2 linked regions of the Kluyveromyces lactis genome follow. The protein of the gene in region 1 interacts with the protein of each later gene in a pairwise test. Links are inferred from orthologs where the notes say so. Each region holds a gene or a part of one and is shown on either strand. Other genes may lie near its edges.

What was found. The genes of interacting proteins can lie anywhere in the genome.
Region 2: the proteins of RAD23 (region 1) and DDI1 interact in a two-hybrid assay, tested with the Saccharomyces cerevisiae proteins (2 studies listed by BioGRID). The link is inferred for Kluyveromyces lactis from reciprocal best matches to the Saccharomyces cerevisiae genes RAD23 and DDI1.

Annotation. Positions count from the first base shown.
Region 1 is NC_006041.1:1,971,035-1,981,939, forward strand, and holds RAD23 (Rad23p), read right to left. Parts: upstream 4,753-10,905; coding exon 3,601-4,752; downstream 1-3,600. Other genes in the region: KLLA0_E22089g (uncharacterized protein), read right to left, coding at 1-1,370; putative acireductone synthase UTR4, read left to right, coding at 2,488-3,153; ANP1 (Anp1p), read right to left, coding at 5,328-6,680; KLLA0_E22177g (uncharacterized protein), read left to right, coding at 7,354-7,743; KLLA0_E22199g (uncharacterized protein), read left to right, coding at 8,310-8,783; MCM DNA helicase complex subunit MCM3, read left to right, coding at 10,241-10,905. UniProt on the Saccharomyces cerevisiae protein: Plays a central role both in proteasomal degradation of misfolded proteins and DNA repair.
Region 2 is NC_006041.1:907,237-917,124, forward strand, and holds DDI1 (Ddi1p), read right to left. Parts: upstream 5,157-9,888; coding exon 3,912-5,156; downstream 1-3,911. Other genes in the region: KLLA0_E10275g (uncharacterized protein), read left to right, coding at 1-1,829; DOS2 (Dos2p), read right to left, coding at 1,904-2,779; OCA6 (protein-tyrosine-phosphatase), read left to right, coding at 3,107-3,814; MAG1 (DNA-3-methyladenine glycosylase II), read left to right, coding at 5,347-6,177; COX15 (Cox15p), read right to left, coding at 6,375-7,859; ATP-dependent Lon protease PIM1, read right to left, coding at 8,315-9,888. UniProt on the Saccharomyces cerevisiae protein: Aspartic protease. Appears to act as negative regulator of constitutive exocytosis. May act at the level of secretory vesicle docking and fusion as a competitive inhibitor of SNARE assembly.

The sequences.
Region 1 (10,905 bases):
ACAGACTTGGTAACTCTTTCCACAATGGTGGAGACATCGTCTTCGGTGATGATGAATGATGGTGCCAACAAAGCAATATCACCAGAAACACCGTCGATGTTTCCTTGCATACCCATGACAGTAATTCCATTTTCGAAACATACATCTTGGAAACGGTGACCAACGTCAAGCTTGTATGGGAATGGTTCCTTTGTTTCTCTGTCCTTGACAAATTCTAAGGACCAGAATCCACCAATACCTCTGACATCACCGACGATGTTATCGTAAGCTAGCAGAGATTTCTTCAATTTCTGACCCATCAAGTTACCCTTTTCAAAGATGTTTTTAGTTAAATCGTTATCCAAGATCTTCTTTTGCACACCAAGGGCAACGGCACAGTTAAAACCGTGAGATGCATAAGTGTGGGAACCGATCATACAGTTCGAACCTTCGGCGTATGCTTTTTTGATTTTTGGACCAACTAAAACACCGGCTATGGTAACGTATCCGGAACCCAAGGTCTTACCAACACTTTGGATATCTGGGGCTTCTTCAGCTGTCAAGAAATTCTCCCAACAGTTCAACTTACCGTTAGGGTTGCTTCTACCAGTACCACACATGACTTCATCGAGCATGAACACAACGTCGTACTTATTACAGATACGGCGGATACCTGATAGATATCCCTTTGGTGGTGGAGTAGTACCTAAGGAGGAACCTGGCAATGTCTCAACGAGAACCACAGAGATAGTCTCTGGGTCGTTGTCTAAGATCAATTGTTCCAGGCTATGAATCAATCTGGCACAATATTCTTCTTCGGTTTCACCTTTCTTCATGAATCTGTATGGGTAGCATACAGGCATCTTTAGGCATAATTCTTTTTGGTCCATCAAGATTTCCTTGAACTGTTCGGCTCTTGGATTAGAAGAGATGGACAAGGCACCCAAAGTGAAGCCATGGTAAGAAGATTCTCTAGAGATGATCTTAGTTCTTTTTGGTTGGCCACGCTCCAATTGGTATTGTCTAATGATTTTCATAGCATTTTCGTTAGCTTCAGAACCAGAGCAACACCACAAAGCGGATTCAAAGGCGCCCTTTGGAGAGTTTTCAATGTAGAACTTAGCCAATTCTTCAGATTGTGAATTACCGATTAAAGATGGGAAAGTGTAAGTGTGATTCTTGGCTGCTTCTGTCATGATCCCATGGATATCCTCATCACCCCATCCCAATGCCCCGACAGCAGCACCAGTGATGCCATCGAAGACATCTTCATGTAACTTGCCATCTTTTTCAACGACAATTCTGCATCCTTCACCGCGTTTGACATGAGGTAACTTTTTAGTGATGTATCCTTGGAAGACGTAAGAGTTATTTTCGTTTTCGACAGTCATGAGTATATCTTTGTATTATAATAAAACTTGTTTGAGGTTTGAGTTTTTGTTTGCTGAGTGGATGCAAAGATGTAATAGAGAAATATGTGAGTTAACAAACAACGAATAAGTAGAACCATCCTTCTGACAGACGCCCTTTATAAATAAATTTCAAGACTAATACTTGCTTCGAATCATCCTATTCCCTCATAATGGAACTTAAAGTAAGCAACCGGCAGGAGCTACCTTGTTTAGATTATCCAATGATATCTGTATTGCAATCGAGGTATCTACGCATAATGCATAATAATATCCTCTCACAAGCGACTCTAACAAAATGAATTGTTTACGATGTACCCCTACAAAGCGAAAAACCGTCTGACCATACTAACAGCAGGAAGCTTAGTTGTATCTCCCCTCCGCATCAGTTCAACTACGAACTGAACAAGATCTAAAGATACAGTCTTTCAATCGTTAAGAACAACATAAAGTAAATAAACAGAATTCAGCCTTACGATCGCTAGCCTATTCCCATCTTAGAATAATCACGTTATACATTTTGCCCCAAGATAATGTAACTACATAGAAGTAGTGCCATTTCATTTGACAACTGTAGATCGGCCTACCGAGAAACCTGTCAAAATGGATACCCTTAATCTTAGATTACCAAATTCAATCCACTCGAAAGGATTGTCTAACGCGGTTTTGCTACGATAGATAAGCAGGAAAATACTGCGCATTGTGATGTCTGGGTTCGTGTGTGGAACGTTCCGTCGTGATCACGTGGTTTGTGGCATATTTTCAGTTATTTAATTTTTGCGCCGTCTCCAGTATCCTCTTTGGGAAACCTTCAAGTTAAGCTAAGCTGCATTCTTTTCCTTTTTAGGAAGGTGTAGCCGTTGTCCAACATTGCCTATGCTTCATTCCATTCTCGCAAGACTGATTTCCGCATCTCATCTCGCAAACTGTAAAACTGAATATTTTGTAAACCTATTCCAATCTGATGTTCTTCACGACCATGTTGGTTCGGTACGCCTAGTGAATAGGAGCTTGGAATTAATCACAGTCATTAGAAAAAAGAGCTTTAAGGCACAGTTATTTGCGTTTACTGGAAAACTGAGATTTCAATTAAGTGACAATGAGTCAATTGAAATATATCTTGGACATTGAAGGTACGGTTTGCCCTATCTCATTTGTTAAAGACACGCTATACCCTTTTTTCTTGAAACAGGTGGAATCTCTTGTCAAGACTAATGACCCTACTTTGCAGAACTTACTTGCCCAATTTCCTGTCCCACAAGATGCTTCTTCTTTGCATGAACATATTGAATCGCTAGTTAATAACGACATCAAGGATTCCGTGTTGAAGCAATTACAAGGGTATATTTGGGAGCAGGGTTACAAGAGTGGTGAGATCAAGGCGCCAGTGTATCCAGATGCAATTGATTTCATTCAGAGACATGCTCCTAATGTTTACATATACTCCTCAGGGTCAGTAAAGGCGCAAATACTCTTGTTCCAACACGTAGAAGGGGACATCGATTTAACGAAATCCATTGCTGGCTACTTCGACATTAACACGTCCGGTAAGAAAACTGAACCTCAATCTTACACCAATATTCTCAAAAGCATTGGAGTGCCTCCATCATCAGCAAGTGATGTTGTGTTTATTAGCGACAATGACAAGGAGTTAGACGCAGCTTTGGATGTAGGCATCAGCACCATCTTGGCATTGAGGCCTGGAAACAACCCGGTATCTAATGCAGAAAAATATAAAGCGCTTAATAACTTCTCATCTATATAAGACATGTCTAAGGTACACTGGTTCTCTGAATTGGGACTAAGGATATAGTGTAATGATGAATAAATTTAAAAAAATTAATGAAGGGGATATCTGATTGATTGTAACACAAATCCTACTTGAAGTTGGAAGTAAGAGATCGAACATACCACGCTCCGTCTGTTGCAGATTGACTAAGGTTGGTTAAGTATAACTGCTCATTATGAGTGCGTATGTGTGCAAAAATTGGAAGATGAATATGTGGGATGCCTTCGCTGTAGTAGGAAAATCTGACGGTATAGAGGTCATACTTGGATTGGCAAACACTACATGCTGGAGATATGAGTACGCATATTCCATATTATTAAACAAATTTGGTAGAGATAATTATTTTTGTTTTCTATTTTGAACATATTCTTCTTTCCCTACATGCCTAAAGAGACGATGGTTTATTGAAAAATCATACTACATTCAATCAGCGTAATTGTTGAATAGCATGTTGGCAGCAATTTCTTCGTTTTTGTCACATGCGAAGTAGATTTGCACCACCAAGGTCCTCTCAAAACCCAACTCGCAAAGTCTATTGATAGCTTCTTCATCTTCTGCTGAGATAGTAACATTGGGAGGCGCGCCTTGAGTTTGTCCCCCGAAATCACCTAGATCACCTTCTGCTATGTCATCTCCCAGATTTTCACCCAAAGAATCGGTTAGGGAACCGCCAACAGCTTCTAATAGCAAAGAGATAAACCTTTGTGGATCTTGCAGCATGGTCTCACGGAGATGTGGGTAACGCGTGCTTAGACTCTCGAAAAGTGGCATTAAAGCCTCTGGACGCCCAGATACAACGTCACGAAGTTGTGTAATGTCCTCCATAGTCAATCCGATTGTGCCCATTTCTTCTCCACCTAAACCAGCAGCGGATTCATGACCTTGCTCGCCATTATTGGCTTCTGCTTGTGCAAATAAATTGTCTTCATGTTCAGTGAATTGTGATGGCACGTCTGTTGCAACTTCAGAATTAGCATTCGCCCCAGCTTCACTAGTTACAGCTTCAGCTTGTTGCTGCGATGGCTCACTGGCTTCAGGAATACCCATAAGCAAATACTCCACTGCACGGTCAGGGTTGTTGAATGCTGCTCTAAGCGCACGTTCTACTTGTTCACGATCATAACCCATTTCCATGATTCTGTTCACAGTCTCGTTACGTTGAGAACCAGTGACAAACGAAGCATCAGTCGTCCCTTCTTCTTGTGTAACTGCAGTAGTACCTGTTCTTGTACCAGTGGTTGTAGCTTCCGCAGGTGCATTTGCAACTGCAGAAGTTTCTGCAGAAGCAGTGGCTTGAGATTCATCTTGGGGTTCAGTTGTGGATTCAGTTACCTTAACATCAGCCTTTTTCTTAGTTTTGCTAATCATGAATATAACCTGATCCCCTTCCTTAAGATTGCATCCTGATACGGTCTTAGGATCCTGGAGTATCTTACCTGCGTAGATCAACTTTATTTGAGATGCATCGCACTGTTTTTGTTCAGCGATCAATTCCTTGGCGTGTGAAATGGTGGCATCATCCGCCAATTCAATAGGTAGTTTTTCCTTTTTGAAATCTTTAAAATTAATAAGCATTATGCTTGTGATTTTCTTGGACTTTGTCTCAACGGTTGTTTTCTTGACTTTATCTTCTTTGCCACCCAGCCATCAGATTCAAGTTGATTTGGCATTAATTTCAATTTCTTTCACTGTTCTCAACTTTCATTTTCGATGTTGACAAAAAAAAAAACTGAAGGTATCTGACAAGATGCAGAACTCCGGAATACGCTGAAAATTACAGCTTAATGCAGCTTGATAACGTGTTTTCAGTATTTGCTTGCCTGTAATAGTTACCAGTAGTAATATGGTTTGAAGTAAACAAAATGAACAGATTATTGCAAGTACAATATTAGTATATAATGCATTTAAACGTAAATGTAAAAAAAAGTCTATTGATAAAAACCTCGATAATGATCTAAGGTGCATATTGTACAACTAGATACTCCAACGTGTTACAGTCTGCCTAATAATTGAATAATAATAGGGGATGGAAGCGATGAGAATTGAAATTAGATGGTTAAGATATCTTTTTAAAAAATATCTCGTTAGTGAAGAATGTATTTGTGGGTTTTATAATCTTCTTTACTCTTCACTGCCTAAACAGAAAATTATTAATGAGCAGGATCAAAGTCCAGTGGTACTTCATGTGAATCTTGATTATTTCCTCCGTTCCTTGAACCATCATCTGCTTCATCATCATCTGACCAGTCCACTTGAATCTTCCTATCTAGGACATTCGGATCAATGTTCTTCAAAATTTGTAACCTTTCTAGCTCCCACTCATCTCTCACGTCATCGAAACCAATATCCCAAATTCTAGCATAGAACTCTTGAATTTTTTGCTCTTCAACCCGACGTTTCTCTTCCTCGGCCATCCAGGCCATGTGTTTCAAATCGTCACTTGAAGGTTCGTAAATGTGCCAGATCACATAATGAGGTAGACCGACAACACTGTATTGCATTCTACGTGATAATTTACCAAAGGCTTCAGTTTCAGCATGTTTCTCGAAAGAGAACGCAGGGAAATGAGAACCTGTTCTAAAGACCTTAGCTTTAGATAAGATGGAAACACCACCAATTCCGTCTAGTTCCATCTCGACCTCGGGATCGCCGCTTGGGTCTCTCATGTAGGCCAAATGTGTTCTCCATGTAGCGTATTCCGGGTACCCTTCTACGATACAAGCATCTTCATCCAAAGAATCAGCTAATTGTAATCCACCCTCAGATTCAACCCATGAGTTCAAATCATATGGTTGTATATTTCCCAACCAATCGGGTAGAGGTCTCCAGACGTTTGGAACAATGACGTCTTTATCATGATGCATTAAATCTTCCAAAATAGTATTCGGTATAGTTTGAACGTCGACATCTCTCCAGTACACGTAAGAATGATACGGCTTCAAAGCCGCTGACCCAAGCCAATTTCTAGCTCTGGCCATGGATTTTCTTCTAGGGCCTTGAGCTGCAAACCCGTGTCTATCAGAAAACGATTGACCCACACTTTGACCGAAATCTTTCTCAAAAATTTCAATGTTAGCGAATCTTCTCGATTTGTCTTGGTTTGATTGAGCTCTTCTCAAATGAGAAAGAAGTGTTTTCATGGTATCATCGCTTGAATCACTGACCAAAAATGAAAGATCAATCAAGTTATGTGGGTATGTCAATTTATCCAAGGTATCGAAGAACATATCCAAATGTGCGGCTGCATCTCTCAAAGGAACACAGAACACCACCCTATCACCGGTCTGCCATCCATTGGCATTCCCCTGATAATTAATTAAATCGTAATATTCCACTCCAGGTATATTTCTGAACCTGTTACCAGTTACAGGACTTGAGACGAACGGTACGAACTGCCATATGATTGGGAAAATCATTCGAATTATAAGAAACCCCGTTACCACTGATCCTATCACGGACACAGCAGTCAAGGCATTGAACCTGCTCTTACCCTTGCTGCCCATCTATGACGGTTGTATGACGTTGTGTAGAATATTTGAATTTCCAGGAATCGAGAATAGAAGTGATTTCAAAAGTAAAGAGCGATGGATCCGGATGTTTTTATTCCTCCACAGCTTTAGCGATTGTATTTTATTGTTCGAAGAAATTTTGATACCGCAATTTTTCACAATAGATCTATAAAATGCACGCTCGTCAAAAGATCCTTATGTGTTCTTCCTTTCTCACTAATCCTGGGCGGTGCTAACCCTGTGTATTATGACACCTTCTGGAATAATAATCGGCTGCTTTAAATGACAAACCTTTTTCCTTTAGCGTTTGCAACAGATAATATGGTCTGTGCCATAATAAATACTTATAAAATATTACTATTTTCGATTGTATAGTTGCATTGTTTTCATCCATTTCAATTTCTTCGCCAAAAAAAAAAAAAAAAAAAAAGTGTATAAACTGAAATTTGGAAAAGGTAAATAAAAAGGAACTGCCAGACCCTACACGCAGTTATAAGGTGTGGGAACCAGTGATTCAACTCTCAGGGCACTGTTGGGGACCGTAAGTTGTTGTAGATAAGAAGCAACTCTACTTTTTCCCGGCTCAATTACCGCCTTTTCGCACTGTAACAGAACCTCTACTACGGCCATTCAACATAACGGAACAAAAAGGCTGGAAAGATAGCGGATGTCTGTTCTTCCCGTACAGTCACGTGACATGTTTCATCTCATTCCAATGCCTGGGAATGCCAGGCGGCAATCAAAGGACCAAATAAATACGTGTATAGTGATATGTATATGTTACCCGGGCATCGTTGGGTTTCCCTTTTTCCTACTGCTTACGAGAGGATTCCGTGAGCTTACCGTGTACGGTGATATATCATGGTCCGTGCCTGTTTCCCTCAATGCGGCCTCAGGTTCTTTGGATCTGTCGACTGGCGAATCCACCCAGCTCTTCGCCATCAAAGATGAATTATACACAACTACGTATCAAAATTGTACATTATACAAATCGTTCCGCAACCGATACAATTATGTGCCAACGTTGCCTATATTATTGACTTCGATCTGTCAGTGAATGCCGTTAAAAAACTAGAATATGCCATTTGGAAAACATACAATCCCCATAGCAGACTAGAATAGCAAGGGAGAAGACGATGGGAAAGTAGAAAAAAAAGACCTACCGTACGAATTGCTTTTTCTTTCTGTTTTCACACTCTACAAACTTTACACGACTATGAAATACATCGGTGTTTTTCCCTCTCGCTCTCTCTTTCACTCTCTCTGTACAAAATGATCGAAACTAAATTTTTCAAACTTTTTTTTTCAGTTCGACGACGAGAAAGAAAAAAAAATTTGATATTCGATTTTATATATATTGGAAACAAAATTATAAGAGTTTTTTTCTTCATGGAAAGTTGAATTTAAAGCTTTTTTTCATTTACAAGAGTGTATTTAGTCCATTTTGTATATGTTTCAGAATGATTTTGTAAACTTCTTCATTTGTTTAATTAGTTTTTCTTGTTCTCTTCTGTTTTAACTTTATCCTGTTATTAGTTATTCAGTTTTACTTGGTTTCAATTGTATTTTGTTTTCACTACAGATAGTAGACCAAACGCATTAAACAAATCACACATATACAACATGGCTGAAGAAGAACACACTTTCGAAACTGCTGGAGCTGGTGCTTCCTTGACTTTCCCAATGCAATGTTCTGCTTTGAGAAAGAACGGTTTTGTCGTTATCAAGGGCAGACCATGTAAGATTGTTGATATGTCTACTTCCAAGACCGGTAAGCACGGTCACGCTAAGGTCCATTTGGTTGCCATCGATATCTTCACCAACAAGAAGTTGGAAGATTTGTCTCCATCTACTCACAACATGGAAGTCCCAGTTGTTAAGAGAACTGAATTCCAATTGTTGGATATCGATGACGGTTTCTTGTCTTTGATGACCATGGACGGTGAAACCAAGGATGATGTCAGAGCCCCAGAAGGTGAATTGGGTGACAACATCCAAGCTGCTTTCGACGAAGGTAAGGACTTGATGGTTACTATCATTGCCGCTATGGGTGAAGAAGCTGCCATCTCCTTCAAGGAAGCTCCAAGATCCGAATAGATTTTGATATGAACAAAAAAATTCAGTAATATATTAATGGACTAAGAAATGAGAAAAAAAAGTTTTTTTATCCCTGGATAAATGGAAAGAAGAAATTGGATCAACCGTTGTTGATACGTTGAGCTCCTAATGTGTTTTGAGAGGGACAGGGGATCTTCTTTTGTTATCAGTGAGATTGGACTCGAGATGAAAAAGACTTGAAATATGATTCCTTTTTTATCCTTGCATGTTTTCACTTGTCCATCTTTCTGTGTTTCCACAAAAGTCGTTTTCCTTCCTGGAACGGTTTTGGTTGCTACTCCCGGTGTTCTTTAGTACGCTATCTAATTCCCCATTTTTTTTCGTCTACTGTTAAGCATCCAATTATATATATTAACTTATATGATATTCTGGGTGTTTTACGTGGGTTTTCAGCAATGGGATGGATTTTGAGTTATAATTGTTGGTTGGAGAACAAGAAACTGTTTTTTCTTTTCTGGAAAACACTCAATCGCTCCTTTCCTTGTCAAGCGTCATTGATGGAAATACTATCAGATACGTTATTCTTTATCACTTTCTCCTTTTAAATCAGCTTTTTTCTCTCTATTCCAGTAATTTTTTTTTTCACTCAATTAAATATCATTATATCCTTAATTCTATTTCTTATATATTTAAATCTTCTTTAACGCTTCCGTTTGTCGTTTTACATTGTCATTGAACCCTGTTAATATGGGGTGTGTGTACTCTTCCGCACTTGCAGACTGCCAGTTACTAAACGGTTGGGAAACCATCCTTGTTTTATTTTTTCAAATTTTGGCTCATCGTCGATAACTTTCAATATCAAAAGCTCAATTGTAGGCAAATATGATTTCGTTAGATTACTTTCTTTAATACCATCTAATGTCCATACTAGGTTCAGAACGTTGGCAAGGGTCTGTAGTTTCTTCTTGCACTGTGAAGCGCGGTATAGTATTTATTATTTACCAATTCACAATATAATGAGTGACATCTTCTGGATCATGTGATATGAACCTAACATCATTTTATCATATAACATGGCAACATGGCCGAGCGGTTAAGGCGAAAGATTAGAAATCTTTTGGGCTCTGCCCGCGCAGGTTCGAGTCCTGCTGTTGTCGTTATTTTTAACCCCTTCTTCCTTTATTTTTTGACGCGTTGCCATTTCTCATTACCCGGAAAATTATTCCTCTTTCTTTTCCAAAAACGGAAAAGATATTGACGAAAACATCAAATCTCATTTCTCTTTGCCGTATTCTGTTGGTAAAATACAGCTGAAACTCGATTCTGACAAAAATAAACTAGAAGAACCATATCAAGAACGTTTCTATCCCAGAACAGCACTGGTGCCAATGAAACATTAATTTTTAGCACCTTCATTTTAATAATATTATTGCATTTATCGCTCCCTGTTTAAAGGACTTTGCTACTGAAAAACACCATAAGTACCGAATTCAATCATGAGTGATGCTATGAATCAAACAAGTGATGCTGTCTTTACAGACAGAATGCGAAGGTTTCAAGAGTTTTTGGATACCCATTCGCATTATACTCGAGAAATAAGATCAATACTCGAGTTTAACAGCAACGTAGTGAAAGAGAAAAAGACGGATGATGATTATTTAAATACTGCAGACAAAGATACGATGGACCATGACACTAATCAATTGCCATTGAGAATAACAGTATCACTTGACGATTTAAGAGAATTTGACAAAACATTTTGGACTGGACTTTTACAAGTACCCTCGTTCTTTTTACCACCAGCGGAGCGTGCTGTTTCGGAGACTGCAATGGCCTTAGATGATAGCCCTCTCGGGTTTCGCGGATTCCAAAATGATCCCAGCAGACAATGGAGACTGTCATTCAAGGGTTCTTTCGGTCCGAATTCTTTATCACCACGTACCTTAAACTCAACACATTTGAATAAATTGATCTCAGTAGAGGGGATTGTAACGAGAACCTCACTTGTGAGGCCAAAACTTCTCAGATCCGTGCATTATGCCCAAACCACAGGCCATCATCATTACCGTGATTATCGTGATGCGACTACAACATTAACCACATCCGTACCAACACCAGCTATTTATCCAGAGGAGGATCAAGAAGGTAATAAGCTGGTCAC
Region 2 (9,888 bases), about 1.1 Mb from region 1:
GTCATATAAAGCATAACAACGTTATTTGCATCGAACCGATCTCGTTCAAAGAATCATACACGGATTCTGATATCTTGCGTAAGTCATTAATCACTGCATCGGATAGAGAAGTTGATCTTTTCAAGAATCGTGATAAGTTTCGACTTATTGTGCTTTACACAGACACTGATGAGCATACGAAATATTACTGGCAACAGTTAGAAGTTTTACAAGACATTCTTTGCAATAGATCATTTGATAAACCTTTACATCATACTAAGGTAATAGTTTTGCAAAATGGCGTAAACGCTTGGAAGGAGAAGTACCCCATGGAGTTGAAAAAAATAATGGAATCGGCAATATCTGATATTCGTACGAAGCCCGTGGAACACAATTTTCACCCTATGGCATTATCAAACAATAATAATATTGAAAAAGCCAATTCACCGAGTCACTCTCAAACTACAAGTTTCACACATTATCCTGATGCTCCATTCCTTACTAATGGAGCTAGTATTAAAACTGCTGGATTGGTGCCTAATCAGTTGTTGCCATCTACCAGTAATTTAACGAAAGCGTTACAGCAGAACGATGAAGGAAATTCTGAACCTTACAAACTTCAACCAAATGGAATCAAAAACCACAGACAGGAAAGTAATAATCATGCGAACGGTACAAATTGCATTGTGAGTTCAAACGGGAATAACTCTGTTGCTAAATCTGGTCATCCTAGTATCAATCTGGATTTCGCGATTGGTTTAGTGAATTTAGGAAATTCATGCTATTTGAACTGCATAATTCAATGTCTTCTCGGTTGTCATGAGCTATCATACATATTTCTGACCAATTCATATAGGAAACATGTCAATGTGAACAGTCGATTAGGTTCCAAGGGTTTATTAGCGAATTATTTTTCACAACTAGTACAGAAGATGTATCAACAGGGGAAACTACAGGCTTATAACAATACTAATATGGAGTCAACGGCTGTGCATCCAACTCAATTCAAATTGGCGTGTGGCTCGATAAATTCACTGTTTAAAGGCAAGCAGCAGCAGGACTGTCAAGAATTTTGCCAATTTCTCTTAGATGGTTTACATGAAGATTTGAACCAATGTGGTACCAATCCTCCTCTTAAGGAATTAAGTCCAGAAGCTGAGAAAATGAGAGAAACCATGCCGATGAGAATTGCTTCAGCCATCGAATGGGAGAGATATTTGACGACAGATTTCAGTGTCATCGTGGATTTGTTCCAAGGCCAATATGCATCGCAGCTCAGATGTAAAATTTGTGCACATACGTCCACAACTTATCAAGCATTCTCTGTTCTTTCAGTACCAGTTCCCAGAGCAAGATCTTGCACAATTTACGACTGTTTCAAAGAGTTTACCAAGCTAGAAACTTTGGAAAAAGACGAATTGTGGTATTGTCCTTATTGTAAACAGAGACAACCATCAACCAAACAAATCATCATCACACGTTTGCCTAATAATTTAATCATTCACTTAAAAAGATTTGATAATATGATGAATAAAAACAACGTTTTTGTCAATTATCCAAATGAACTAGACTTAACTGGCTTTTGGATCGACGATTACAATGGAGAAATGCCAAAGGATAACGGGGTTTCGTTGCCATTGCGTGGTCAAAAGCCACCCTTCAACTATAGACTCTTTGCTGTGGCGTCACATTCTGGCACGCTCTATGGTGGCCATTACACCTCCTTTGTGGACAAAGGCAGAGTTGGTTGGTGTTCTTTTGATGATGTCAGTTGGAGAAAAATTAGAAGGAAGGACGAATATATCACACCTAATGCATATGTGCTGTTTTACCGTAGAGTTAACATGTAAGTATAATAATTAATTAAGTAGGGAAATACAAAATGTAATCAGTGTTCGAAGAAACACCAGATCGGTTCCAATAACTACTCCCAATCATCATCTTCTTCGTCGTCATTTTCCTCTTGCTTGATAGCTTTTGATTCAGTTTTAGCAGAAGAAATAGTCTCCTTACCAGTGTTGGAGTCTTGTTTAGCCTTTGCAGTTTTAGAAGGAATAATTTCTTCTTCTGAATCCTCTTCCTCATCATCCCATCCTATTGCTTGTTCTTTACCTAGATCTTCCTTGGCACTTAATAAGTCACGCTTCTTTGAGGCCAAATTTAGAATCTCCGCCTTCTTAGTGAAGTAAATATTCCAAAATGTTGCATCATCAAGAGGTGCTGGGACAACGTCTTCGTGTAAGCTTTTCAAGTCCGAATCCTTGTTTAATAACTCTTGAATCTCTTCAAAATGTTCCTTTATTACAAAATCCTTCGGTAAGCTTGCTGCATTATATTTCAAATATATTGACTTGTCTATGGCAAGTTGTTTCAACTTTGTGTCTGTAATTGAGCTAAAAGCGGTATCCTTGTTAGATCCCTCTGCCTCTTTGGCATCGAAATCAAGCACTTCTTGAAACTGAGTAGATATGGTATTCGCCATGGACGACCAGAATGATTTTTTAGAAACAGTGTTCCAGTACCCTTGCGTCAACTCTTCAACTTTCTCCAAGTTGTCATCCAATTTCCCCAACATCTCTTGAGCCTTATTTGTAACGGTACCGCCCAAATTCTCAGGGATTTGGAAATTCAAAGAGTCCTTCTCTTTAACAAAACCTAAAATAGCCTTTGAAGTTTTCTGGAGCTGTTCATCCACTTGGTCCTCGAACTTCTGAAACGCCTCATCAGTCTTATCATCATGTTTTGTCACCTTAACGGCATCTGCAGTCTCTGTTGCAGTCTCTTCATATAAGAAATCCATCGCTAAAGACGCTTTTCACGACTAATGCTAAGCTAGCTATTACCAAAGTACCTTAATGTCACCAAATAACACGTCTGGCTAGATACGCTCGACGCTTATCGACAGACTTCTCGCGAGAACTCTTTTGTTGCGCCTCCCCTTCTTGAAGATCAATCCTTTAAAGGTTCAAACTCCAAATGTTTCATGATTTTCCTTATTATTGGACCTTTTCATTGCAAAGAAGAACAGTTTCAACATGTCTAAAATACAGTAGGAAGAAGCCTCCTCATCTTGTCTCTGCTCAAGTTTGGGTATTATTTGGGGATAGCAGCAACTATAGAATACTCAATGTCATTGGTGACTCCCTTACAGTTTAGCTGTGTTCAGCCGAGATTTTACAGAGGATCATATCCGGCAGAAATTAACCTACCGTTTTTGAGGACCCTTCGACTCAACTATATTATATCTTTGGTACCTGAACCGATTACTAATGACCCTATTTTAGCTGAGTTCTGTGAAGTGGAGGGTATTGAGACGGTTTTTATACAATGTGCGGATGACAAGAAGCAGAAGACAAAGACAAAGAATAAAGACGAACCCAAGGTGAAAAGGAAGAAGAAACCTGTACCTATAGAGTACGATGTGGTAATAGAATGTATCAAGTTTTTGATCGACAAGAACCATTATCCTTGTTACATCCATTGTTCGAACTCGAACACGGAAGTCACATCGCTAGTCATAGCATGTCTACGAAAGCTCTCTTATTGGAGCACTGTATCGATATTCAACGAGTACATGACATACACGTCTAGCATAAATATACATGAAAGAAACTTCATCGAGAACTTCAATCTGGAGATAGATATTCAAGGTGTGAAACCTTCGGACAAAGTGTCTTGGATAATAGTCAGATCTAAGCACAATGGGGCCACGGGTTCGAAACAGGATAAAGGTGCGAAACATCAGAACGGAAAGAGCGATGAGAACCTCGATCTAACACCGCAGCTATCCGCTTCAAAAGATCCTTTGCCAACACTTAGGTTCCATGATGATTGATTGTTATATTATCTGATACTACTTTGTGTACATTACATACTCTTTCAGTATTAATAGAGAGAATAGTCTGCGCGCAGAGTTTTGGGTCAATACCTGCTTATTGAAACAAAAGGGAAGCTGCATAGTCCACGTTTCCACCAGTTTTATTCAATGCATTGATAGCTTCTTTCCTAGAGAAACCAAGATCCACTAATTTTTTTATGTCTGATTCTGCGAACGATGGAACAGTTTGATTTGTGGTAGAACTTGGAATCTTTGGCTGCTTGACTTTGTTTGCATCGCCAGTCATAGCATTTTTTCCTGAAGATGAGTCCCTCTTCAACGCTGCCTTTCTTACTTCGTCAGCTGCTGGAGTTGTCAGTGCATGAAGGGAGTCCTTTGGAATTTCAGATTCAGGCAAGAATGGGGTCTCAACATCTGATATTCTCAATACATTGTTCTTCAAATCTATAGATGCCTGATGTCTTCTTAACATGTCCAAACCCAACAACATTTCCATTGGAGTGTCAAGTACGGTAAAACTACAAGGCAAGAACACGTCGTGGATTTTGATTTGAGTCGTATGGATTCTCCCGAGAATTTTGCCCGTACCAACACCCTGAGCTATACCACTGAACCTTTTATCAATTAGAGAGGTCAACCCTGTTCTTTCTGCCAATTTTGTTGACATTATAGTCTGTTGAGCACCAGAATCAACGAACGCTTTGACTGGGTGGCCATTGATTTCTAATTTTATATACAACATTGACACTTGGGTAAAAGACTCCGGAGTATATTCCATCGCATATCGTAATTGCTCATCAATCTCATGTTGGTTGGTCAACTCCGAAATCCGTGCTTGATTCACAGGATCATCAGGGTTGCTCATTAATCTTGAGTATTCAGAATTTGGGATACCGAATGGGTTATTTGATCTTTCACCACGTCTGGAAAGTAACACCGGACCTAGTAGTTGATGAAATTGGGTTTTATTATTTATCATATGTTCTAAGTTTGGAAGACCCATCTCTTGAGCCATACTTGGATTCTCTAATAGGAAAGTCCTGAACTGTTCAATGTACTGTTCATCCGTCAAATCGATCTCCTGAGGTTGACCGAAAGCTGCCTGGGAACTAGCGGGATTCTTAGGTTTTATCAAAAGCATATCATGGTTTTGTAAGCCAGCCTCTTTCAAAGTTATATTCGTGTTCTTAGTGTCAAGTTGCTTCATGTTGTGAAATATGATCTGAGATTCCTCTTTAAAGTCTATCAATGCGAAAAGGTCGATAAGCGACATATCTTCACTCAATTCAAAAGGTCCAAGGACATCATCAGAGTGCTCATAAGTGACGGTGATGTTCATCTCTGATACGGTTGCCTAGTAATGGTAACTTTCAGTTTTAGTGTTTATTTTCCATTGAATAAAGTGATAATTGATAATTAAAGTTGATCTTGATTAATAAAGGAATCTTATATGTCAGAGAACCTTAAAACAACTTCTCGAAAGTAAAGAAAGAAAGAACGGACAAAAGTGTCGCCAAGGCTATATTGAAATGAAAAGGACAAGGGATGATATCCTCAAGGTGGATGTGGACCAAGAATATCTGGATCAGCACATTGATTCATTCCGTGATGGAATAGAACATATCTTAACTATTGACCCCACATTAAAAGAAATCATTGAGCATAGTCCTTTCACCATGTTTCTCAAGGAAAATGTGGCCAAGGATTCGATGGACCTTTATTTTAATAAATTGGCAGGTAGCATCATTTCACAGCAGATCAGTGGTGCAGCTGCGAAGAATATTCGAGGCAGGATCGTAGATATGTTTGATGGAACTTTTCCTAATTATCAGACACTGCACGAAACATTCCAAGACTCGAAGAAGAAACAAGCTTTTAAGGAATGTGGGTTATCTCAAAGGAAGCTGATGTATATTGAGTCCTTGGTTGGATATTTTTTCAATAACGAGGATTCTATAAAAGATCTCTTTGCCTTTGCAGACGATGATAAAATCATCGAAGAGCTAGTCGCAAATATCAAGGGTATCGGACCGTGGTCAGCGAAGATGTTTTTAGTTACAGGTTTACATCGCTTAAATGTATTTGCAGCTGAAGATTTGGGAATCGCAAGGGGATGTTCAAGGTACTTGGAACAACGACCAGAGATCTTAAAGAAGCTTCACAGCAAGCGGACTCTTATCAAGAAATCAAAAATAAAGCACAAGAGTTTCAAGTGGAAAATCCACGATGAAGACGTGGTTGAGCTCTGTGGTGATTTATTTAGCCCCCATAGAACGTTATTTATGTTCGTTCTTTGGAGAATGTCGGATACTAACATGGAAGTTGTCATCAATAATGAGAAAAGGTTTATGTCGAAGTAATAATTAGAGGCATTGTAATTGCTGTGTATAAACAGTACACTTTAAAGTAAGGTAGGAGTTCACTGGTAGCAACTTTTGAGTATATATATTTACAAGATAACATTTAATGTGCTGCCCAGTGTTTATAATAAATAGGAAGTAAAGGGGACAAACAAGAAAATAATTGAAAAAAAAGGATCCATTCGTAGTTCCCAAGATCACTTCGCAAGTTTGGAAGCCTCAGTTAAGATTTTAGAAGAGGCCTTTTGCTGTTGTGTATAGAGTCCACCGGTGAGGATTCTAATTGCGGCTCTTGGTTTTCTCAATTGAGAAGCAAACAACAATGAACCTGTCAATAATGCCAAGGCACCAGCTTGGTGAGCAGAAGCTAGAGGGATTGGAACCAAATATAACAAGGTAAAAATACCTAGAGTGACTTGTAAAGTGGCAAGACCCATCATACCATGAGCAGTACGTAGAACTTGTTTAGGAATGATAGCCTTGTTTCTGTTACAGTACATGTGGAATGCAAACACAGCGAAGAAAGTGGTTGTAGCCAAAATCCTATGATTCAGTTGAACCGTAGTTGGGTTTTCCAACATATTTCTCCAAAACATATCACTCTTGTCTTCTTTTCTAGCAAAGTTTTCGTCGATTAATTCACGTTTACTTGGTACCCAATCATCACCCATGTGAGGGAAAGTATTGTAGATTAGACCAGCATCCAGACCAGCAACCAAACCCCCAGACATCGCAGTAACAAAGGTCAAAGCTAGTAGACCAAGTGCAGATCTTCTCAATGGAGCTAGTGCTGGGTTATCTAGTTTTGAGAATAAAACAAGAGCTTCGGATGGGTTTTTAACCCATTTGGCCTCTCTCAAGATCTCAAACCCGGTCCAGAGCATACCCATATATAACATGAAAGCGGTACCCAAATGTGTAGTCAATCTGTACTGTGAGACAGTCGGTTTGGACTTTCTTTCCTTCAATTGTGTTTCATCCAAACCAGACTTGACCATCCACCAACCGATAAAACCTTGTAAACCTAGTAGTGCTGATAAACCAAACAATCTTTTATTAACATGAGGTGATGTCTTCCTAGCGACAGCAAAGTAGACAGCAGGCAGAATGAATACAGCACCGATAGCACGGCCCCATAGTCTATGAATCCATTCCATAAAGAAAATGAACTTGAATTCATCCAAGGTAATATGAGAGTTCAACTGTTTAAATTCTGGAGAACTTTTATACTTGGTGAATTCATTTTCCCATTCCTGCTGGTTCAAGGGTGGTAAAGTACCAGCGACAGGTCTCCATTCTGTAATAGATAACCCAGATTCAGTAAGTCTGGTTAACCCCCCGAGAACGACAATACCAAACACAAGAATTGAAGTACCAACTAACCAGTACCCTACCACTTTTGATGAATTTAGCAAGGGTTTTGACTTAGCTTGTTTAGCCGTGGATGCCGTAGCTGTTGTTATACCATTACCAGTAGTTTGCGATACCTGTACAGCTTCCCTGACAATAGATCTGGTATGGAAATACGCCATTGAAACTGTTGGCAAAGCTCTCTTAAGAGCAACAGTGGGAATCACATTCTTTGTCTTTACCAAATTTGATATTGAACGGGTCATTAAACCACGGGAACTTATGCGAATACCGCTGAGGCCTCTGCCTCCAAGAACCAAAGTTCTGAACATAGTGATAACTAGGTTGTCAGCTTCAAAAGATCGAATCTGGCCTCTGTGGTTCAATACTTACTTCTGTTAATGTTACTAGTGAAAGGCTTCATCGTTCCATTTTTTTTTTTTTTTATATTGAGCCTGATCATTCCATAACGTGAAGGGAACTATATAAAAGCGTCAGCAGAAAGAAGCCCGATAAAACGTACTATTGAATAACGAGTTGACATGTCGTTATATTTGGCCAGTTTGTCGATGTTGTTAATATCTATAAATTCTCTATACTTATTTGAAGGCCGCATGGGGAATTCGTGTACGTTTTGTCTGTATATCCAAATAATCGTTGTTTAAGTAGAATGGTAGTACCTGGGGTTCATTCGGCGGTGGATTCGTATCAAATTCGTCTGTGTTTAGTTTACAGTAGTGTATATATTTACATGGGACTAAATAAGATAAATGACATTGGGTTTGATTTATTTAGTTTCCTTGTTGCGTTTTTCATCAATCTTCTTGAAGTCTTCTGACCAAACGGTGTTACCCTTGTTAGTGTCTACGTCTCCGAATAGTCTTTGGAAAACATCTTCGTACCAGTCTGCGGCCAAAGGTTCCAATCCTTCCTTCACATTCTCTGGAAGCTCAGCCCAGTCTGACAAATTGTCTTTGGGGAAAATGATAGTCTTGGCACCAGATCTCTTGGCTGCTACGGCCTTTTCTCTTAACCCACCGATCCTCAAAACTTTACCAGTCAAAGTCAATTCACCGGTCATAGCCACTGTTGGGTCAAGACCCTTATTCAAAGCCAGTGATAAGAATGAAGAGGCCATTGTCACACCTGCAGATGGACCATCCTTTGGTGTAGCACCTTCAGGGCAATGCAAATGGATCTTTGCAACTTCAAAGAATCTATTTTCTGGGAACTTCTTGGCCAAGTACATCTTTGAGAAAGAGTATGCTAGTCTAGAGGATTCCTTCATTACATCTCCAAGTTGGCCGGTACGTTCTAAAGTAGGTTGAGTTGAATGTGTCAAAGGCTGTTCTAAAACACTCTCTACGTACATTGCACATCCACCCATGCTAGTCCATGCAAGACCCATCACAACACCAGGAGGAGTAGATTCGTATAATCTATCAGTAGTGAAGATTGGTGGACCTACGTAATCCTTTAGGTTGTTTTCGTCTACAGTCACAGAAACAGTTTCCGGTACTTCTAAGGAACCCTTGTTATCGTGAGATTTTTGGGTCTTGATCAGTTCATTTTCTTCAGTAGTGGATTCTACGGTCGATGCTTCAGCACTAGATTTGTTTTCGGATTGCTTGACCTTTATATCCTTTTGATCCTTCACTTCTTCATTTTCCATAGGTTTATCGTCTATGCTCAATTGTTTAACGACGTTCAACGCAGCCTTACGGTAGATTTTCTCAATGTGCTTTTTCAATGATCTAACACCACTTTCTCTGCAGTAATGCTTCATCAAAGAAACAATAGCATTCTCGGTAATGTTGACGTTAGCATTATCTAAACCAGCAGATTTCTTTGCACTTGGCGATAGATAATTTTCTGCGATCTTAACCTTTTCTTCAGCAACATAACCAGTTAGTTCAATGACTTCCATACGGTCCAACAATGGTCTTGGGATAGTTTCTAAAGAATTAGCGGTGCAAACGAATAAAACTTTAGACAAATCGATTGGAATATCCATATAGTTGTCCAAGAAACTATTGTTTTGTTCTGGGTCTAATAATTCTAATAGCGCTGCGGCGGGGTCCCCATGGATACCGCCGTGCCCAATCTTATCAATTTCGTCAATCAAAATCAACGGGTTTTGAGTTTGACATTTCTTTAAAGCTTGGATGACTCTACCTGGCAAAGCACCAATATAGGTTCTTCTGTGACCTTTGATTTCAGCCACATCAGTCATACCACCTACTGAGAATCTGAAAAATTGTCTGTTCAAAGAGCGAGCAATGGACTTACCAATGGATGTCTTACCCACACCAGGTGGTCCAACAAAACAGATGATCTTACCATCAACCTTCCCGAGAAGCT